Linked DNA regions of Oryzias latipes. The protein of the gene in region 1 interacts with the protein of each later gene in a pairwise test. Links are inferred from orthologs where the notes say so. Each region holds a gene or a part of one and is shown in the gene's direction. Other genes may lie near its edges.

Evidence for each region.
Region 2: the proteins of NGFI-A-binding protein 2 (region 1) and rfc5 interact in binary tests that used the Homo sapiens proteins (3 or more experiments, as listed by UniProt). The link is inferred for Oryzias latipes from reciprocal best matches to the Homo sapiens genes NAB2 and RFC5.
Region 3: the proteins of NGFI-A-binding protein 2 (region 1) and pyridoxal phosphate phosphatase PHOSPHO2 interact in binary tests that used the Homo sapiens proteins (3 or more experiments, as listed by UniProt). The two-hybrid records come from large-scale screens. The link is inferred for Oryzias latipes from reciprocal best matches to the Homo sapiens genes NAB2 and PHOSPHO2.
Region 4: the proteins of NGFI-A-binding protein 2 (region 1) and PHD finger protein 1 interact in binary tests that used the Homo sapiens proteins (3 or more experiments, as listed by UniProt). The two-hybrid records come from large-scale screens. The link is inferred for Oryzias latipes from reciprocal best matches to the Homo sapiens genes NAB2 and PHF1.

Annotation. Positions count from the first base shown.
Region 1 is NC_019863.2:27,732,673-27,736,900, reverse strand, and holds the end of NGFI-A-binding protein 2, read left to right. Parts: coding exon 1-43; intron 44-134; coding exon 135-249; intron 250-324; coding exon 325-510; intron 511-2,158; coding exon 2,159-2,265; 3' UTR 2,266-3,481; downstream 3,482-4,228. UniProt on the Homo sapiens protein: Acts as a transcriptional repressor for zinc finger transcription factors EGR1 and EGR2. Isoform 2 lacks repression ability.
Region 2 is NC_019867.2:3,441,906-3,446,318, forward strand, and holds the start of rfc5 (replication factor C subunit 5), read left to right. Parts: upstream 1-1,595; 5' UTR 1,596-1,736; coding exon 1,737-1,783; intron 1,784-2,035; coding exon 2,036-2,100; intron 2,101-2,174; coding exon 2,175-2,311; intron 2,312-2,393; coding exon 2,394-2,473; intron 2,474-2,564; coding exon 2,565-2,638; intron 2,639-2,969; coding exon 2,970-3,129; intron 3,130-4,216; coding exon 4,217-4,298; intron 4,299-4,368; coding exon 4,369-4,413. Other genes in the region: ksr2 (kinase suppressor of Ras 2), read right to left, coding at 71-244. UniProt on the Homo sapiens protein: Subunit of the replication factor C (RFC) complex which acts during elongation of primed DNA templates by DNA polymerases delta and epsilon, and is necessary for ATP-dependent loading of proliferating cell nuclear antigen (PCNA) onto primed DNA.
Region 3 is NC_019861.2:34,327,351-34,331,995, reverse strand, and holds the start of pyridoxal phosphate phosphatase PHOSPHO2, read left to right. Parts: upstream 1-1,827; 5' UTR 1,828-1,974; intron 1,975-3,295; 5' UTR 3,296-3,302; coding exon 3,303-3,373; intron 3,374-3,448; coding exon 3,449-3,543; intron 3,544-3,617; coding exon 3,618-4,186; 3' UTR 4,187-4,645. UniProt on the Homo sapiens protein: Phosphatase that has high activity toward pyridoxal 5'-phosphate (PLP).
Region 4 is NC_019874.2:28,769,493-28,774,086, forward strand, and holds the start of PHD finger protein 1, read left to right. Parts: upstream 1-1,776; 5' UTR 1,777-3,942; intron 3,943-4,048; 5' UTR 4,049-4,199; intron 4,200-4,594. UniProt on the Homo sapiens protein: Polycomb group (PcG) that specifically binds histone H3 trimethylated at 'Lys-36' (H3K36me3) and recruits the PRC2 complex. Involved in DNA damage response and is recruited at double-strand breaks (DSBs).

The DNA of each region.
Region 1 (4,228 bases):
TGACGAGAACAGCAGCCTCTGTCAGAAGAGACTAAGACACCAGGTGAGAAAAGATCTTCATCTCACCTGATAAAAGCTCTGCTCCAAACATTTAAAGACACAATGACCTGCTTCATCTGATGATGATTTCCAAGGTGATCGTGTCCGAGAGCGCATCCCCGCTCCTCGGAGCAGAGGGATCCGAGAGCTCCACCCACAGAGCGGATGATGACAGCTTGTCTGCAGAAAATCTAGACTGTGCACCTCATGGTAACGGCATGTTCACAAACAGGAGAAAATAACGTCGAAACTCCACTTTGAACTCAAATCTGTTCGTCCTGCTAGACGCCAGAACACAGAGCAACCACTCTCCATCACCACGACCCCTCACTGACACCTCCAACCCTGCCAGCTGGAGCCGCCATCTCATACAGCAGACCTTAATGGACGAAGGGCTGCGATTGGCCAGGATGGTGTCACATGATCGAGCAGGAAAGCTGGGTCTTGGGTTAGAAGGTCCTCACACAACAGGTGACTTTTCAAAATTTGGTTTTACCTATAAAGGACTCAGAATAAATGTGTATAAACCCAGAGAACTACGAGCAATTTTCTTCTGGATTTTTAAAGTTAATATGACCTTTGTTTTTTTTTTGCTTAATTATTTTGAATAGCAGCAATAAGCAAAAAAACAAACTGGGGCTAAATACGACCCAGGGTTAAATATTTCCATGTTGTTTAAGAAATGAAGTTATGGCCGACAAATGTGAACAAAAACATGAATCATATGATCTAATACACATGAAATAAACGGTATTTCTAAAATGTCAAGGCGGGTTGAATACTAAAGGTGGTTCAGGTGAAGCAGGTTTACTCTGACAGACAGGCCGACCTTTCTAAACAATGTTTATTTAGTAGTTGTGCAGTTTCAGGCTCAGTGAGTCACAATCTCTCTGAGGTGACACCTCCCACCACGGGCAGCTGAACTCCACCAGACTGTAAATTAGAGGATATTTTCTATGGAGGGGGGGCAAGAGGAGGTGGAGAAAAAAAGAGTGTGACAAGCAGGATAGAAAGAGTAAGGGGGGGGGGGGGGGTGTTACACTGTAATAGCAGCTCTTGGGGCGGCTGTTACTTCAGTGCAGCATCACAGAAAAGTGAACGTTTGGAGGAAGTTGTTCTGGGCTGAAGAGATGCAGTGAAGAAGGCACAGACGTTAAAGGAAGGGGGGGTAGGAAGTACTCTGTGGGCGACAGAATTACCCCCCCCTCCCCATCCTTCACCATGTGATTGACGTCAGAGTGTGTTAGGCGCGTGGGCTGAAGGGCGGGAGGGATGGGGCGTGGGGGCGACGGAGTGGGCGGTAATTGGAGGGGCGTTGCATTGACTCACCAAGCGACAGCGTACAAAAATAAAACCCGTGGGCAGAAAAATGGCACATTCTTCCTTATACGTCTTCTTCTACCTAAAGAACTGTGGAAATAAAATAAAACTGACATATGCTTCATCTTTGGCATCCATCTGCCTGCCTCCCTGTCAGGTTTCGGTCACCTCATCACCCCTTCAAGTTTCTATCGTTTATCTGAACTTTTTCCTTCCAACGTCACTTTTTCCAGCCAAAAAAATGTCTTTTATCTTCCTATATTTTATATTTTTATCTTTAGAAGCTTTGACTTTTGTTTTAAATGTTTTTGTTGATGTCAGCAAGAGAACATGTGTTTTAAACAGGAACTTTCAGAATAAAATAAAGGGAAGTAATAACTTTTGGTGCAGTTTGATCCAAAACAGTGAAATACTTGTAAAAAATGTGTTTTTATTTCTTGATGCTCATGCAGTGAAATGACAGACATTGTTTGTAAATGCACACTCAAACATCCGCGTTTGCTTAATTAATGGTTTTCCTGCTTGATCATCCAAAGATTCATTTAACTCTGCAATAAGGGAAGCAGTTAGTTATGCTGTTTGTGTAAACAGTGATTTCACTTCGTGTAGGAGTTCTTCCTGTTCTTTCACCCAAACCATCTTTCAGAGCTCCTAAAATACGGGTTACGTCCTGATTACCTCTGAACTGGCACTTATCCTCTTCCTCCCGGGGGTTCATTCGGTCCCCTTCGTCACAGCAGATTTCCACATTGATCAGGTCTTTGACATTAATTGTCCTTTCTATTCTTGAAATCTTTAGACCATGACAGTAAACCGGAGCGGCAGAGTTTGTTAACGGCGTGTAGGAGCAGTAGCCCCTGTGTCACCAAAGACTCACCCACCAGCTGCCACCCCCGGGGGAAATGAAGCGCTCTGCACTCATCGGGGAACTTGTGTTTGGGCGTCCACTCTAATCCCGCCGTCCCACGGAGAGGTGCAACTCGTCCTTCGCCGACGTGCGGCGGACAGGGGCTTTCAATTCAAGTCAAAACAGTAAATGTGAGAATTTACCAGCATCACATGTTGTTGACAAATGATGCAAATTTGATGTTTTAATATGTAGAAGGATAGTAAACACTTATCAGGTTTGAGTTCACTAATTTAGCCATTCAAAGAGGGAATCGTAGACGTTTGGCGGTTCCAGCTGCTCGACACGACACCGAAAGGTTTTTCAGTCACTTTCAGCATGTAACTTGTAATGTCTTTACTCTCAGGAAACACATTGATGTTCTGTTCTTGTTAGAGGTCAGTGTAGTGAGCTCAGGTTAATCTATGTAGTCATTTAGAAAAAGAAGTATTTGGACCAGACATATAAAAAACAGCACAAAGATCAGAGGTTTTTGGTTCTGCACTTGCCTTTTCAAACACACTTAGGTTAATAAAATTGCCAGGCCATCCTTCCTTTTCACGGTCGTTTTACTCCCATCTTCAGTTAAACCAGGGATGTCCAAACCTTTTGCAAAGAGGGCCAACAATTCACCCTGAACGATTTTAATAACTTTAAATGCAAATTAACTATTTATGAATATTTTATTGCATTGGCATACTTTCCATTTCTTCATATTGAAAAGAAAACACATCTAGATAGGTTTTTACCTAAATTACTGCCAATTTGTCCACTTTTGGCACAGTTTATTCCCAATTAGCTTGTTGTAGATAGCATAGTTAGTCCCTTTTCATATTGAACCCCTTGACAACAGTCACAGTCTCTTGGTATATTAGCCACACACGGTTGTTTCATATTTCACAAAATTTTTTTGCTAATTTCCCGTCTGACTGGAAGTCGTGTCCCTCACCGTCAACTTTTAAAAGAATGTAGAATTGACATTTTAGAAATAATTAGAAGGTGTCACAGAAGGGTCCCACCACAGTACCCCAACCAGTTTACAACGGGTTACAACTAATTTAGCCGACCACAATCAAGAAAGTTTTTTGAAAATATTATTGAGTTTATGACAGGAGCATGTGTTTGGCTTAAGGGTTGGACTTTGGACATGCCTGACTTAATCAAAGTGGGTTTTTTTCTTAGAAAACTATCTACTGCTTCTTGTTTAACCCTTGTGCTATCCTAGGCACTTTAACATTGGGCGTTGGGTCATCTAGATCAGTGTTTTTCAACCTTTTCTGAGCCACGGCACACTTTAACCTTAAAAAAATCCCGCGGCACACCAGCATCCAAAAAAAAAAAAAAAGGAGAAACTCAGTCTATATTGATCTACAACCCCTCCCTCCACAGTCTCACATGCATTTTTGAGATAATTGTTGCAGAAAAAGCTGGAAACTGCAGCTGTTTTTTTCTAAAAGATGCAATAAAAGTTAAGTTAGAAGATTTAAAAACAGTTTGAAGTGTGTTCGTTGGTTTCAAGACGTTTAACAACAGATATCCTTGTGCTCACAACCCAATGCATCATGGGAGATGTAGTGCATAAAACGGCCGGCGGAGATCGCTTTTCGGAGCTTCATTGTTTTGTTCACTTGTTCCACGGTCTGATACCGGACTCTGTGGAAAGCTACACCGCTAAAGACGAGCTTTAGCTGGTATTTTTGTTAGAACTGAGCGACTTTACGAGCTAGATCGGGACAAGGAAGTGAAGACTTTAACCACTTCTGATTGGTCAGACTGATGACATGTGATTAAGCTCCCCAAGAATGATTGGTGGAGACAGTTAAAGCAACGGGACTATTCCAAAAAACAGCCGGAGCTGCAGCTGAATCGTGGTAACGTCATTCTTATCAAAATGTCTTTAATAAAATTAAAAAAGAAACGCAAAGAAAAAGTATTTTACGATCTTTTATATTCCTAACTCCTCAGTGTTTTATCAGGGCCTGT
Region 2 (4,413 bases), on another chromosome or scaffold:
AAAACTGACAGCCCTGGGTGATGCTTTAGTTGAGGATGCAGAGCAGTAATTGAGTCAGGGAGCCGCTTACCTCCAGCGTTCGGATCTCTTTTTGTGTCAAGTCGTTGGATGTGGCACATTTGGTCCGTAAACCCTCCAAACTAGAAATGCTTATGTCAATCATGTTCTGCACCAACTCGCACTGCTGCAAGGCTTTCTGCAAACTGAGATGCTGCTCCTCGCTTTTTGTCATCTCCTCGTTCATAGTTTAGCGCGCGCTGGATGGTATTTTTTCCCCTTAGTTTGTATTTCCAAGACAAAAAAAGAAGAAGAAGAACAGAGGGTTAAAAAAAGAGGATAATTCAAGAAAGAAACGTGGAGGAGCCCGCGGAAAAGAGCAACCAGCACAGCGCAGTGGAAAGAGATGCTGCAGGCTTAGACTCTGGCTTTGAGCCGTGAGAGGGTCGCCTCCATTGCAACAACAGTCCTCGCAGCTCCAGCTGGATGATCAAGGATGTAAACTAGACCAAACTCAATGTGAGGATGCGGAGCGGGGCTGAGCGGTCTGCTACAGCATCCATCGGGCGTCCTTTCCGTTCTAATGGATGCTGAGGAAGGGGGGGGGGGGGAGAAAAAAAAGGGGGGGAAAGGAACCAAATTTGCTGCTCAGCGCATCCTAAACAGCCGGATCGGGTAGAACCTGGCGGTTTTAAAGGTGCTGATGTGCGGATTGGATGCAGGTACTCCCTGTCTCCCTTGGCAGCAGCTGCATCCCGGTTCGCTCCCACCACACCGACATGTTTCCCGTCAATCAAAGCCACAGCAACAGCATCGCAGCGCCGCCGTAAGGGGCCGCTCTCGCGTGATCACGGCGCGCTCAAGTGGGTTCTCGTCTGCTGGACGAGAAACGCATCATCTGCGACAAATGATCTTTATTTTTCAGGGTGATATTTCATCAAATTAAACATAATTCAGCAATCTTACTAAAATGCAAACGAAGTGCCTGTTAAACTAAAAGGTTAAACAAAATTTGAAAACATTTTTTAAAACATTTATTGTGTGTACTCACCCAAGTTATTAAATAATGGGGGGGGGGGGGGCATGTTTTACTTATTTATTTATTGTTTTTGGTTGTCGCCTGGTTAGGTAGCTAAATAGTTAACGTCTAAAGCGTATATTCTAAATGAAACGTATTAAAAACCAAACAGATTAAGAAACTTGTGTATTTTTCTATTAATTTAATTTACCTATTTTACGAAATACTTATTGCACAAGTTAGATAGAAATGTATGTACATCAGGGGATTAAATATTGTTTTTTTCCTGTTAAATGCTTTAAAGTCTTATACAAATCTTTAAAATTAGTCTGATTTCCACAGCACATTAATTTTCGTTCTGAAATGTTCAAGAAAATCGGTCAAAAATGTTTTCGCCTACGGATAAATATCAAACTAACACAGAGATTTCTATTTTACAAGATAATCAACTCAAAAATGTTTATAAAATAAACAAAAAACAATTTTAAGCTTTACTTTAGAAAATATTAAAATTCTTCAATTGATATTGTGGTTTTTTTTACAGTTTACCTTCAACATATCACCATGATCCCACCCACCGGAAAGCAAAACGACATTCTGTTGGTGTTACGTCATGACGTTGGCGTGCGTTTCTGTCGCGAGCGCGGCAAAAGGAAGCGACATAGAACAGACGGGGTTTTTCCTCTACTTGCCCGGCTAATAAATAAAGTTACCGGGAGTCATGGCGTCTACGAGTAGGACCCCGTTACAGAGCAGAAACCTGCCATGGTGAGCCGCGACGAACGAGACGTTTGAGAAGCGGCGAGAATGTCGTTGTTGTCTAAGACTAAGCTAGCTGCTCCTTCAAGTTCTTGTTTGTCTCCAGTCAGAGGCTGTGCTTTTTTTTTTTGTTTTGTTTTCTTTTAAGTTTGTTCAGCTTTTTAAAGGCCTACACACTTCTTAAAAAGAAGGGAAAAAAAGAAATATTCTACTAAACAACGTCTTTGTTTTTGTGCTAAAAGTGTTTGTTTTGCATTTCAGGGTAGAAAAATATAGACCACAAAAACTCGATGATTTAATTTCACACAGAGACATCCTGAGCACCAGTAAGTTTGTTCATTTAAGGAAGCAAATCGACTCTGTGGTGTCCAGAGTTCTGAAGGTCTCCATGTCTCTTCAGTCCAGAGGTTCGTCAGAGAGGACCGGCTTCCTCACCTCCTGCTCTACGGGCCTCCTGGAACCGGAAAGACCTCCACCATTCTGGCCTGTGCCCGGCAACTGTACAAGGACAAGGAGTTCAACTCCATGGTGCTGGAGGTACCGTCTCCACTCAGGATCTTTAGTCTGCAGGGATTTTCTCATCTCCAAGGGTCCTGATTCTGATTCTCTTCTGTTCAAGCTGAATGCTTCAGACGACAGGGGTATCGATGTGGTCCGAGGTCCCATCCTGAGTTTTGCCAGCACCAGAACCATCTTCAAGTGAGTCGGTACCGCTCCAGCTCTCTGTGACCTTCTGCAGAGATTCCCTCCAGACAACTCCAAACTCCTTTTTCCTCCCTTTGATCCCCAGGAAAGGCTTCAAGCTGGTGATCCTGGACGAGGCCGATGCCATGACCCAGGATGCCCAGAATGCATTGCGGCGAGGTGAGCCATCTGTTCGCCTAAGTATGGCTTGCTGTGAGCGACACGGCTCACTGGGCAGCCAAATCATTTGGCTGATGATGCATGGGTCTGCATGAAAACACAACCGTTTTCTAAAATAATCCTTTGCATTGATTTTGTTGATTAAAATTTTTTTTTTCATAGGTGTTGAAAGTAGGTTATCGTCAACGATCTCATAAACGAATTAAGATGTTTGCAGATTTTCAAAATAAGACGATTTTAAGTAACTTTATCCCATTGAACTAACGTTTTGGCAGGTAACAGTCTGTCTTTTTATTTTTGTAAACTTCCTGCTGTCTCCCGTACGCCTCAGTGATTGAGAAGTTCACAGAAAACACCCGGTTCTGCCTCATCTGCAACTACCTTTCCAAGATCATCCCCGCCCTGCAGTCCCGGTGCACCAGGTTCCGCTTCGGGCCTCTGTCGGCGGACCAGATGATCCCCCGGCTGAGGCACGTCATTCAGGAGGAGAGGTGAGGAAAACCGGGACCGCTTTCGGCCTCTGAAGTCTCTCACTTTCTGAGTCTGTCAGAAGCATTAAAAACGACTGTGATGTTGACATGAAAAGATGCTTTCAAAGGATTTTTGAAAAATTAGGACTATAAATGGAATGAAAAACTTTACATTCTCGTTTCTGCCATTCGCATTCATCGCTTTTTAAGCTTTTCATTAAGAATCTCTCAGTTTTCTTTTTTTCTTTTTTTGATCCGATTTCACGTTTTTTTATGCTGATACCCGAGTCTCGCTCCAATACTTTTATAACACATTTTAAAAGTTGAATAAACAAATGCAGGTTTTCCCGTTTTTATTCTATTCCCCCTTTATTTTGTCAGAAAAAGAGCACCTCTGTGAACAATTAAGTACAAATAGTGCAACCATCAACTAGAAAAAATAACAAACTATTAACTGGTAAAAATAGTTGATAATTAGTCATGTGAGAAAGTTTGGTGACTGTAGCTTTGGCTCTTCAGAGCTTTTTGGATCAGATGTGATTTTTTTTTTTTTACTTTGGGAAAAAGAAATACCCATTTTTTTAAAAGGCATGAATATGATGAGTATTTATGACTTAACTTATATAAACAGAACCATTTATGTATTTGTGTTGTTTTTGAGAGTTTATTATCTTCTGATCACTTTTTCACAGAGCTTTCTTTTTGTAGACGGTCCCTTAGCAGCTCTTTTCACTGCCGTTTCTCTCTTTAATTCTCCGTATTTGAAAAACACATCGCATTTTTCTTTAAAGGTCATCGTTTACGTTAAGACAAACCAATAGAGACACTTGCTGTCAGTTTCAAATGTTAATTAAAAGAATTTTGAAACCTAGAAGTCCAAATATCCTTCAGACTTTACCAAACTGTGTTTGTGCGCCTCCCGCTCAAGCTAGTGCCATGTTTTTGCTGCGTTTTAGGGCAATAAGATGTTGTGATCCGTCCATGAGATGCAGACGTCTAGTACAGGATTTATCTGTAAAAATAAGCTTTAAATGCATAGCGCTGATCATAATAATTTTCCTCTTTAAACTTCCTTTTGGCCTTTAATGAGCTGAATCTTGTCTGGTAGCATCGACATCACCGAGGATGGGATGAAGGCCATCGTGACTTTATCGTCCGGCGACATGAGGAGGTCGCTGAACGTCCTGCAGGTGGGACCTCCTCACTCCTCCTGCCGGGATGTTCTCCAGCAGAGAGGAAAGACTTTTCGTGTCCTTTCAGAGCACCAGCATGGCGTACGGGAAGGTGACGGAGGACTCCGTGTAC
Region 3 (4,645 bases), on another chromosome or scaffold:
TATTATACATTCCTTTTAAAAGAAAAACACTACAAATTATAATTTTTGGTAATGACCATCAATCAACTTAGATATTCATTCATCTTTTCTGTGTTTTCCCTTTCTGGGTCACAGGGTTGCCAGAGCCTATCCAGCCACTTGTGGGCAAAGGCAGGAGGCACCCTGGACAGGTCACCAGTCTGTTGCAGGGTAGAGTGTCCACAATCACACACCCAGGCTCACTCCCATTCACACCTAGGGACAATTTAGATTTAGATTAACCTATGAAGCATGTTTTTGGACAGTGGGAGGAAGCTGGAGTCCCTCGAGAAAACCCACACATGCAAGGGGAGAACATGCAAACTCCACACAGTGTCAACAATGTCCCCTGTTGTTGTTGTTGTTGTTCTGTTTTCAGGTGCCCCAGGTGGGACTTGAACAGAGAGCCTTCTTGCTGTGAGGCAAGACTGCTAACCACTGCGCCACCTTGCAGCCCAACTTGGATAATGCTCTTAAGATTTTTGAATATTTGTTAGTTTAGAAGTTTAGGTTGAGTCTAAATGCTACAACATGTACATAGATTTTATCCTAATTTGATAAGATTTTTCTTACTGTTAGTGTTCATTGTTTATATCAGTGTTTATCGAAAGAAATTATTAGTCAAGGAAAGGTAAATTGACAGAACTCATTAAACAAGCATAGATAAGACTTATCCATATAAATATCACACAAACAGTAAAAAATATGTCAGTACACAAGACTGGAAAATTAAGGGGAAAATGCTTTAATTGATTCATTTTTGTAGCACATGATTTTTCAGCTTTGGTATACAGTTATAAAGGAAAAAATAGATATATTATGTGGGAAAAACACTATTTCTATCACATGCGACTTTTTAATTTCAATCCTAATATAGTGATGCTATCCAGTGCTTATTAAGTACAGCTTAACAGGGGTGTAATTATTTAAGTTTACTTCCTCCTTCTGATTTTCAAGCAATTAAACTCTTCCTGACACTCTTCACTTTTAATGAATGGAATGTGTCATGTACTGTATGGATGAATGCAAATTGATCTATTTAAGATTGAGAGTCAATATAATGGCATCATTTATATGTGTATCCTCTTTCACTTTTTAGTTTTTTACTTTCCAATTTGATTATGACTCATCATCTTAGGTTTGGTAATTCTATATGTTATATGCCGTGTATTTATATACTCTGATCCCTTGAAATAAGCCAGTTTCAACCCAAAAATTCAAAAGAAATTATTTTAGGATTGGCTTGAAGCAGATAACATGACAAGCAGATGTAAACAGGTAAAAAACCTAAATGTCCATCATCAGTCAGAGCTAAAGAAGCTATTCAGATCAGCTGCCAAACATAATCTAGATCAACTTTTAAGGCTACCAAAACATCTACTATTACTAAAAATAAACATTTCAATATAACGTTGAGACAAATTTAAATTTATAAATATGTTTAGTAACTTAAACAAAGATGGAGGTCACATTTAGTTGAGCAGGAATGGGATTATTTCAAAACACTGCAGCTCGGAAAAAAGAAAAAAGAAATCACAGAAGTAAAAAAAGTAAATAAACAAACACACAAACAAACAAACAAATAGATAAATAAAGTAATTAAAAAAATGTACATATCTATTGCCTAATAATTTGAATATAACTTTTTATTCACCGTTAGAACAAGCTGGACAAACTAAAACGGTGGTAATTTTGTATAATAGGATAATAAAATATTAGTAAATCCTTAGTAAAATAAAAACCAACAAGTTAACTGTAAATTTCGATAGATACACTTACAAAACACGTTTTTACATTGCATCAGAAATGTGAGCATCCGCAGAAAGGCCGTTGTGATTTATATTTAGTACTCATTGTGACCAGCAGGGGGCAGTAACTACAGCGCATCGATAAATCCAGTAGAAGAAGAAAAAAGCAGACGAAGAAGACGACAGTGACGGTTGGCTTCCGCGAGCGGTGAGTTTCTCGTTCCATAATTTTGAAGGCATTTTTGTCAATCTATTTAAAGTACAGTTTAGAAATGTCCACATAAATCCTCGGGTATTATATGCTAGACTGTTGACACAGAATGCTACAGGAATTATTAGCTAAAAATGAACCAAATCCAATGAAGAACACGCGCGAATCTAAAAGAAATACAGTAAAAAGAAAAAAAAACGATTATAAAAACAACATTTCTGCGATAATAGATGAACGACTTCTGTTTGTTTAATTCGGCGCGGAGAAATGAAGGATTGAGTGAAAATAAAGTAATTTTACAAGCTAATAAACAGTCATAATTCCTACAAATATAAATAATAATTTTTTAAAATTATAAAGTAAACCATGAGTGGTCACACGACAACATATTCACAAATAAAACTGCCACAATATGACAATAGAAAACAGCTTACAACAACATCTTAATTTAACCAAACTGTAATGTATTGAAATATGAGGTTAATCTTTGAAATCCCTCTGATTCAAAAGGCTTCAGGTCAAAGGTCACAGCAGACAAACAACTCCGTCCCGTCTCTGTTTTTATGTTTATTTATCTCCCAGTCAGACAATAGTAAGAAATAAAGCTGTGCAGACCTTCAGACTGAGAAGGAGCTGGACTACTGTGATGACGCACAGGCCCTATCAGGAAGAGATAAACAGACACAAGCCCACCCAGCTCCCCCACCCCAGACACGCCCACCCGCCTGTCCGTCAGCACGTCCGCGTCCTGAAATGATTTTGGGTTTGATCCGTGTACAGGAATCTCTGAACGTGTAGAAAATCGGGATTTTGACTTCTTTTCCGATCTTCACATTTAGGAAAGAAATCGTTTTTTGTTTGTTATTTTTAATCTAAAAGTCATTTGGATAAAGAAATCCTCAGAATAAACTCAGTTTTCTTTCTATACGTCATCATCATCAACGGAAAAATGCCACAAGGACAAGTTTAAAACAAGATTTTCATCAGAAAGGGTCCTTAAACTGTCCTTTATAAACCTGGAGTAAATACATTAAAACACACAAACCAAGAATTTAAAGCAAATATTGAACTTATACTGGTTTAAACGATAAGACATCGACATTCCTCAACAAACCAGAACATTATGAGCAAATTCAGATTCAGCCGATGGACTGGAACGTTTTTTATTTTAATGATGTATTTACAGGGCTCCGTAAGTTATTTTTTGGAAATGTGGGGAGTGTATAGCAGTTAAACATCTAATCGTGTTATTTTTTCTGTGTTTTTTACATAAACATTCATAAATACTTTTAAAAAATGCTGTTTTTGTGTGTTTCAGGGGGACAATGAGGTTCCTGATGGTGTTTGATTTCGACCACACTCTGGTGGATGAAAACAGCGACCTGTGGGTGGTCAGGTCGGTCACCAAAGGCTTCCTTTTCTGTAAACTGGAGGAGAACATTCTGTTTCATGATGTCTTCTTTGTCCTCAGGTGTCTTCCGGACGGGCGCCTTCCTGCCTCCATCGAGAATTCCCACCGGGGGGGTCTCTGGATGGAGTACATGTGCAGGGTGATGAAGTTCATCGGTGAGCGCCGGCCGTGCCGCTCGTCCGGCGCTCCGCGTCTTTGGTTTCTGACCTCGGCTTGTCTTTGCGCGCAGGAGATCAGGGTATCGGCCCGGACCGCATCCGGAGCGTGATGGAGACCATCCCCTTCGCCGACGGCATGGCGGACCTGCTGGCGTTTATTTCGGAGAACAAAAGCGCCGTGGACTGCATCGTCATCTCAGACGCCAACTCCTTGTTCATAAACTGGGTTCTGCAGGCTGCCGGGCTTGGCGAGGCGGTCGATAAAGTTTTCACCAACCCGGCGGCGTTCAACGAGGCGGGGCACATGGAGGTGCGCCGCCATCACTCTCACGACTGCAGCGAGTGCCCCCCCAACATCTGCAAGAGGAAGGTCTTGGAGCGGTACCTGTCCGAGCGGGCCGAGGAAGGCGTGCGGTACGAGCGCGTCTTCTACGTGGGCGACGGTAGCAACGACCTGTGCCCCTCCTTCTGCTTGAGAGCGCAGGACGCCGTGATGCCCCGCCGGGACTTCACGCTGCTGAAGCTGCTGGCCCGGCTGGAGGCCCAGCCGGGAGAGATCTCGGTGGCGGCCAAAGTGGTTCCCTGGAGCAGCGGCGCCGACGTCCTGCAGGAGCTCAAAGCAAGCATGCAGTCCGAATAACGGAGCAGAAGAAGTCCTGGAGGCAGCGCTCCGTCCAGAACCGAGCAGAAGAAGTCCTGGAAGAAGCGCTCCGTCCAGAACCGAGCAGAAGAAGTCCTGGAAGAAGCGCTCCGTCCAGAACTATGCTCTACAATTTGAAGCACATTTATTGTCGCCAGGTTCTGAGAAGGGATCATTTATTTGTTGGGAATTTTACATTTTTGACCAGCTGAGTGATCCGACTCTGAGTTTCCAGAGGGAAATTAGCTCTAAACAACCTTATGCTCATTTCTAGAAAGGATTGTTGCTTGAAAAGAGCTGATTTATTCAGTCTTCCTGCAGCTTCTAAAAAAAAAAAAAAAGAATTTTAGTTTTATGGGAAAAAAAATGATTAAAAAAGAAAAATGTAAATCAGAAAAAAAACTTTTTTTGACTTTTAAAATCAGCTTTTGCAGAATCAAAGATGGGAGCAGACAAACT
Region 4 (4,594 bases), on another chromosome or scaffold:
ATTAACTCAAGCTTTGAATTTGACAAAGGATAACTTACTTAAACTGACCTACCTCATTGAAAACACAATGGAACATATATAGTGACTGATCAGACCAACTAGACACACAAGGGGGAACTTAAAAAGACTAAGACAAAATACAGCAAGCAAACTAAACTAATATCCATCCTGTGGTAAATTAACATACACAAATGAATGAAAATAAAGAGCATCAAAATAGAAACTAAAGTAAAGCAACACAAGATAATTTATTGTCCCCTGGCCGATGGTTTAGTGCTGAATATCAGGCCTCTGCTGACTGGCATGCATTCTTGTGTCAGGCCTGGTTCCCTCAGCACTGGTAACTCAAAGCATAACATCAAATTAATGAAGCAAATTATAATAAAGTAAGCTGAAACGTGTTAATCAATTTTATGTTCAAATGTGTGTGTGAAAAAGAAATCTAAAAGTATATGCGAAAAGATATAGTGAACGGATATATGTAGGGTGCGGTGCAGGAGGTTACTGCTCTGATGGGGTGGCAGCGTAGGCAGCCATCACACACTTCCTGCAGCTCCCCTGGGAGAATCCCAAGGCGAGCAGAGAGACGTAGTCCCTCAAACGTGTCCTGGGTCTTTCCCAGGTCTCCGCCCAGTGGGAAATGCCCGGAACACCTCCCCAGGGAGGAGTCCAGGAGACATCTGGATGCTTTTGGTTTTAAGCAGCTTTGAATGGGCTTGGTTGATTTCAACTTGTTAAAAAAATTCTCTTCAAATTGTAAAGCAAAGTGGTTTCAGTGAACAAAAAACCTTTGAAGTACATTTGACTTGAATGATTGACATCAGAGAGGAAAACCATGATCCGTGTTTTACCATCAACATTTAAAGCTCAACACTGTCTAATGTGGTTTTGTAATATCCAAAACATACAATATATAGTGTGTCTCATTCAAAAAAATATGTGTGAGTGAGTGTAAATTAAGCAGTTTTATAATTTTTAGATTCATATTCTTGTTGTTTTTTTTTTGTTTTATAAATTTCACTCACAGATTTCTGCAAAAGCTCCACACCAACCATGAAAAGTTATTAATTTTTAGGCAAAGTTAATAATCTAAATATTTTCATTCATGCAACCAATTTGAGAACAGCTTTTACTTTGAAAGACCTGTCACAGAGGCCATCAGTTCTACAGATTACAGCATCTACTGACTTATTCTGCGTTTACCAGAACAACAGGTTGGTTTTTAGTCTTCCTGAAGGGGCTATTTTTCATTTTTGTTAAATCAAACTCAAGGATTCAGCAGCAACTTTTGACAATATCACCAACCTGAAGGAACACACCGTGTCCGTCATTGACTACATTAAGAAATGTGTGGATGATGTGACAGTGGTCAAGACCGTCAGGAAGAAATCAAATTGCAAACCATGACTAACAGGAGACGTTTGTTCCTTGTTGAGAGCTTGGAACATGGCTTTTAAATAAGGAGATGCAGCAGCGTACAGTCTGGCAAGGACGAACCTGTCACAGGGGATTAGAGGGGCAAAGAAGCTGTACACACAAAAACTGAACAGCCACTTCATGTGTGAGAAAGAGACAATATGCCGGAACAACCGCCCTTTACCCCTTGTGCTATCCCATGGGGTCCAGATGACCCCACCCTTACATTGACGTGTTCTCCCTACCATGACAAAGGTGGATAAAGGCAGAAAGATTTCATGTAATCCATGGACACCAGTCGAGATCACAAATTTAGCGCACTGTCTTGTGGGGTCTAGATGACCCCACTACCAATGTTAAAGTGCCAAGGATAGCACAAGGGTTACCAGAGGAACTGAACAACTTCTACGCATGGTTTGATGTTTACAGCACCATCCAGGCACAGATGCTGCTGCTGTGATCCAGCAACACAGCATTACAGCCATCAACCGCAAAGCGGCTGGCCCGGACAACATCCCTGGACAGGCTCTGAAAGACTGCATGGAGCAATTGAAAGATTTATTCAGCGAGATCTTTAACACATCACTCAGACAGGAATTTATACCCACCTGTCTTTAAACTGCTGTCATTACTCCAGTCCCAAAGATGTCTGATCCAAACGTATTTTGCCCCGTGGCCTTCACACCCATTGTGACCAAATGTCTTGTGCGCTTGGTTCTGAAGCACATCAAGAAGAGTCTTCCAATAAATATGGACCCTTTACAACTTGCATCTTCAGTAAATAGATTTACTGAAGATGCCATCTCCACTGCTCTCCACCTGATCCTGTCACATCTGGAGAGGAAAAACACCTATGCTAGAGTCCTCTTCATCGACTTCAGCTCGGCTTTTAACACCATCATTCCACAGCAACTGGTGGAGAAGCTGAAGGCAATCTGCAATTGGATGCTGAGTTTACTGACAGACGGGCTGCAGACAGTCAAGATCAACACACACATCAAGGCCCATGTCATCGAGCACAGGCACACCACAAGGGTGTGTCCTGAGCCCACTGCTGTTCAGTCTGCTCACGCATGACTGCACAGCTAGGTACAGCACCAACCACATTGTCAAATTTACGGACGGCACAACAGTAATTGGTCTCATAAACGACAATGATGAGTCTGCTTACAGAATGGAGGTGGGGCAGCTAGCAGTGTGGTGTGAATGACATAATCTCCAGATCAATGGTGATCGACTTCAGGGCATCTGGCAATTACCACAACACACATCCGACCATAAATGGTGTTGCTGTGGAGAAGTTCCTGGGGGTGCATCTCACTCCAACTCCACTCCTCCAACTCCAAAATGACCACCAGAAAAGCACAAAAGCCTCCATCCCCTCCAGAGACTCAAGAAGGCAGGAATTCCAACACCTCGCCTCATCACCTTCTACAACGGCACCAATGAAAACGTGTTGACACAGAGCCTTACATGCTGGTTTGGCAGCTGCAAGGTTCAGGACCAACAACCGGTCAGCGAGATTGTTGGAGCCCATACCACCATACGCAGAGTAAGCTTCCTCATTAGGGACCCTCCGCTTCTCTGTCATGGGGTGTTCTTCCTTATGCCATCTGGGAAAAGGTTCAAGAGTATCAGCAGCAGATCCAGCGGGATAGTAAAATCTTCTTTTCACAAGCAGTGAGACTGCTACATAGACTGTCCTCCTCCTGCATACATGCTCTCACAAACTCCACACCGCAATCAGACCCAATAAACTACCCCCACCCTCTGCACCACCCAAAGACACAATATATACTGCTGCTAAATGCAGATACTAACTTTAAGGATTGAATGCTGGTTTCTATTTTTTTGACATTTTATTTTAGTTGATTGCTATTTTATTCTATTTTATTGCTATATTTTCTTTTGCACTGTCATATTAGTGAGGAAAAACATCTGGTCTCACCTGTGTATTCCTCTGCAAATACTATGAGTGAAATAAATGACAATACATTAATCTGGAATTCAAGCATTCAAGGATTTTATTTGGTATTATTTAACCACAGGGTGAATTCAAATTTGTTGATCTGGTCCCAGCCAATTAAAGTGGAAATATGCCAAGTAGAAAACAACAAGAAATGTATATATAAATCCCTTACATCGGTAACATGAGTACAGATCCTATCGAATATTGGATAAATGTAGTATTGTGGCACTTTACTGGGACTTTCACAAAAAGATGCAAGAACAGAAATCAACAATTAAACCACAGCAGGAAAATGACATGTTAATAAAAAAACAATGCAACTTGGTAAGAAGAAAAACAATTGATAAGATGCCAAACAAGAGCTTTAAACTCAGGGTGAAATGAACTAGTGTTGACTTATCAAACACAAACTCACAGCTGGTTCCTGGATACTTCCTTCCTTCCTGGTCCAGGAAATACCAGGAACAAGGACTTTGAGCTAAGAAAAGTAGAGGAGAAGAAAGTCATCTGAGAAAAGAGCTCTGCGAGGTTCACACTCGGAAATCCCAAAATGCCAGGTGATCTAGAATAATCCAGCCTTGATTGGTAAATCTGGAGAATTACACAAACACATTTAAAAAATGTTGCTGCAACTAAAAGGCTCCATTCTTTGGTAATCCCCAGGTTCCGCACAGCGACTCCAAAGTAATCAGGATGTTTGAAATGATGAAGAACTCTGATTTCCTGGCTCCTCACAGCAGGAGTTGATATCAAAACAGAGCAGACGAACGGTCCAATTCTTCAGTGAAAAGGATTGGAGTTTTGGAAAAGTGAGGTAAAAACATTCCACGTTCCAGGATTGAATGCAGACTGGTGCTACAGAGAAAAGGGAAAAACTCAAGGACTTTCCAGTTTGGGTTTACTGGTTGCTCTCCGGAGCTTCTGTCAAAGCTGTCCTGTGATGCAGCAGCAGCTGGTAGTACAACGCCCCCCGGTGGTCTCACGTGGGAAATCTGCCTTTAATCTGCCAGGGGCCATTTTGAAGCAGAGATAACACGTCTGACTGGTGGGAGTCAAGTGTGAGACACAAACAAGGAGGAAGCCAAAACACAGATAGATACACTAAATGATGAAAAAGCCTCCTAACCTGAAATGTATCTTTCCTAAAAATTAGTTTTAAACATTTGAATTGTTCCTGTTTAAACAATTGACTCTTTAATTAAAGTATGC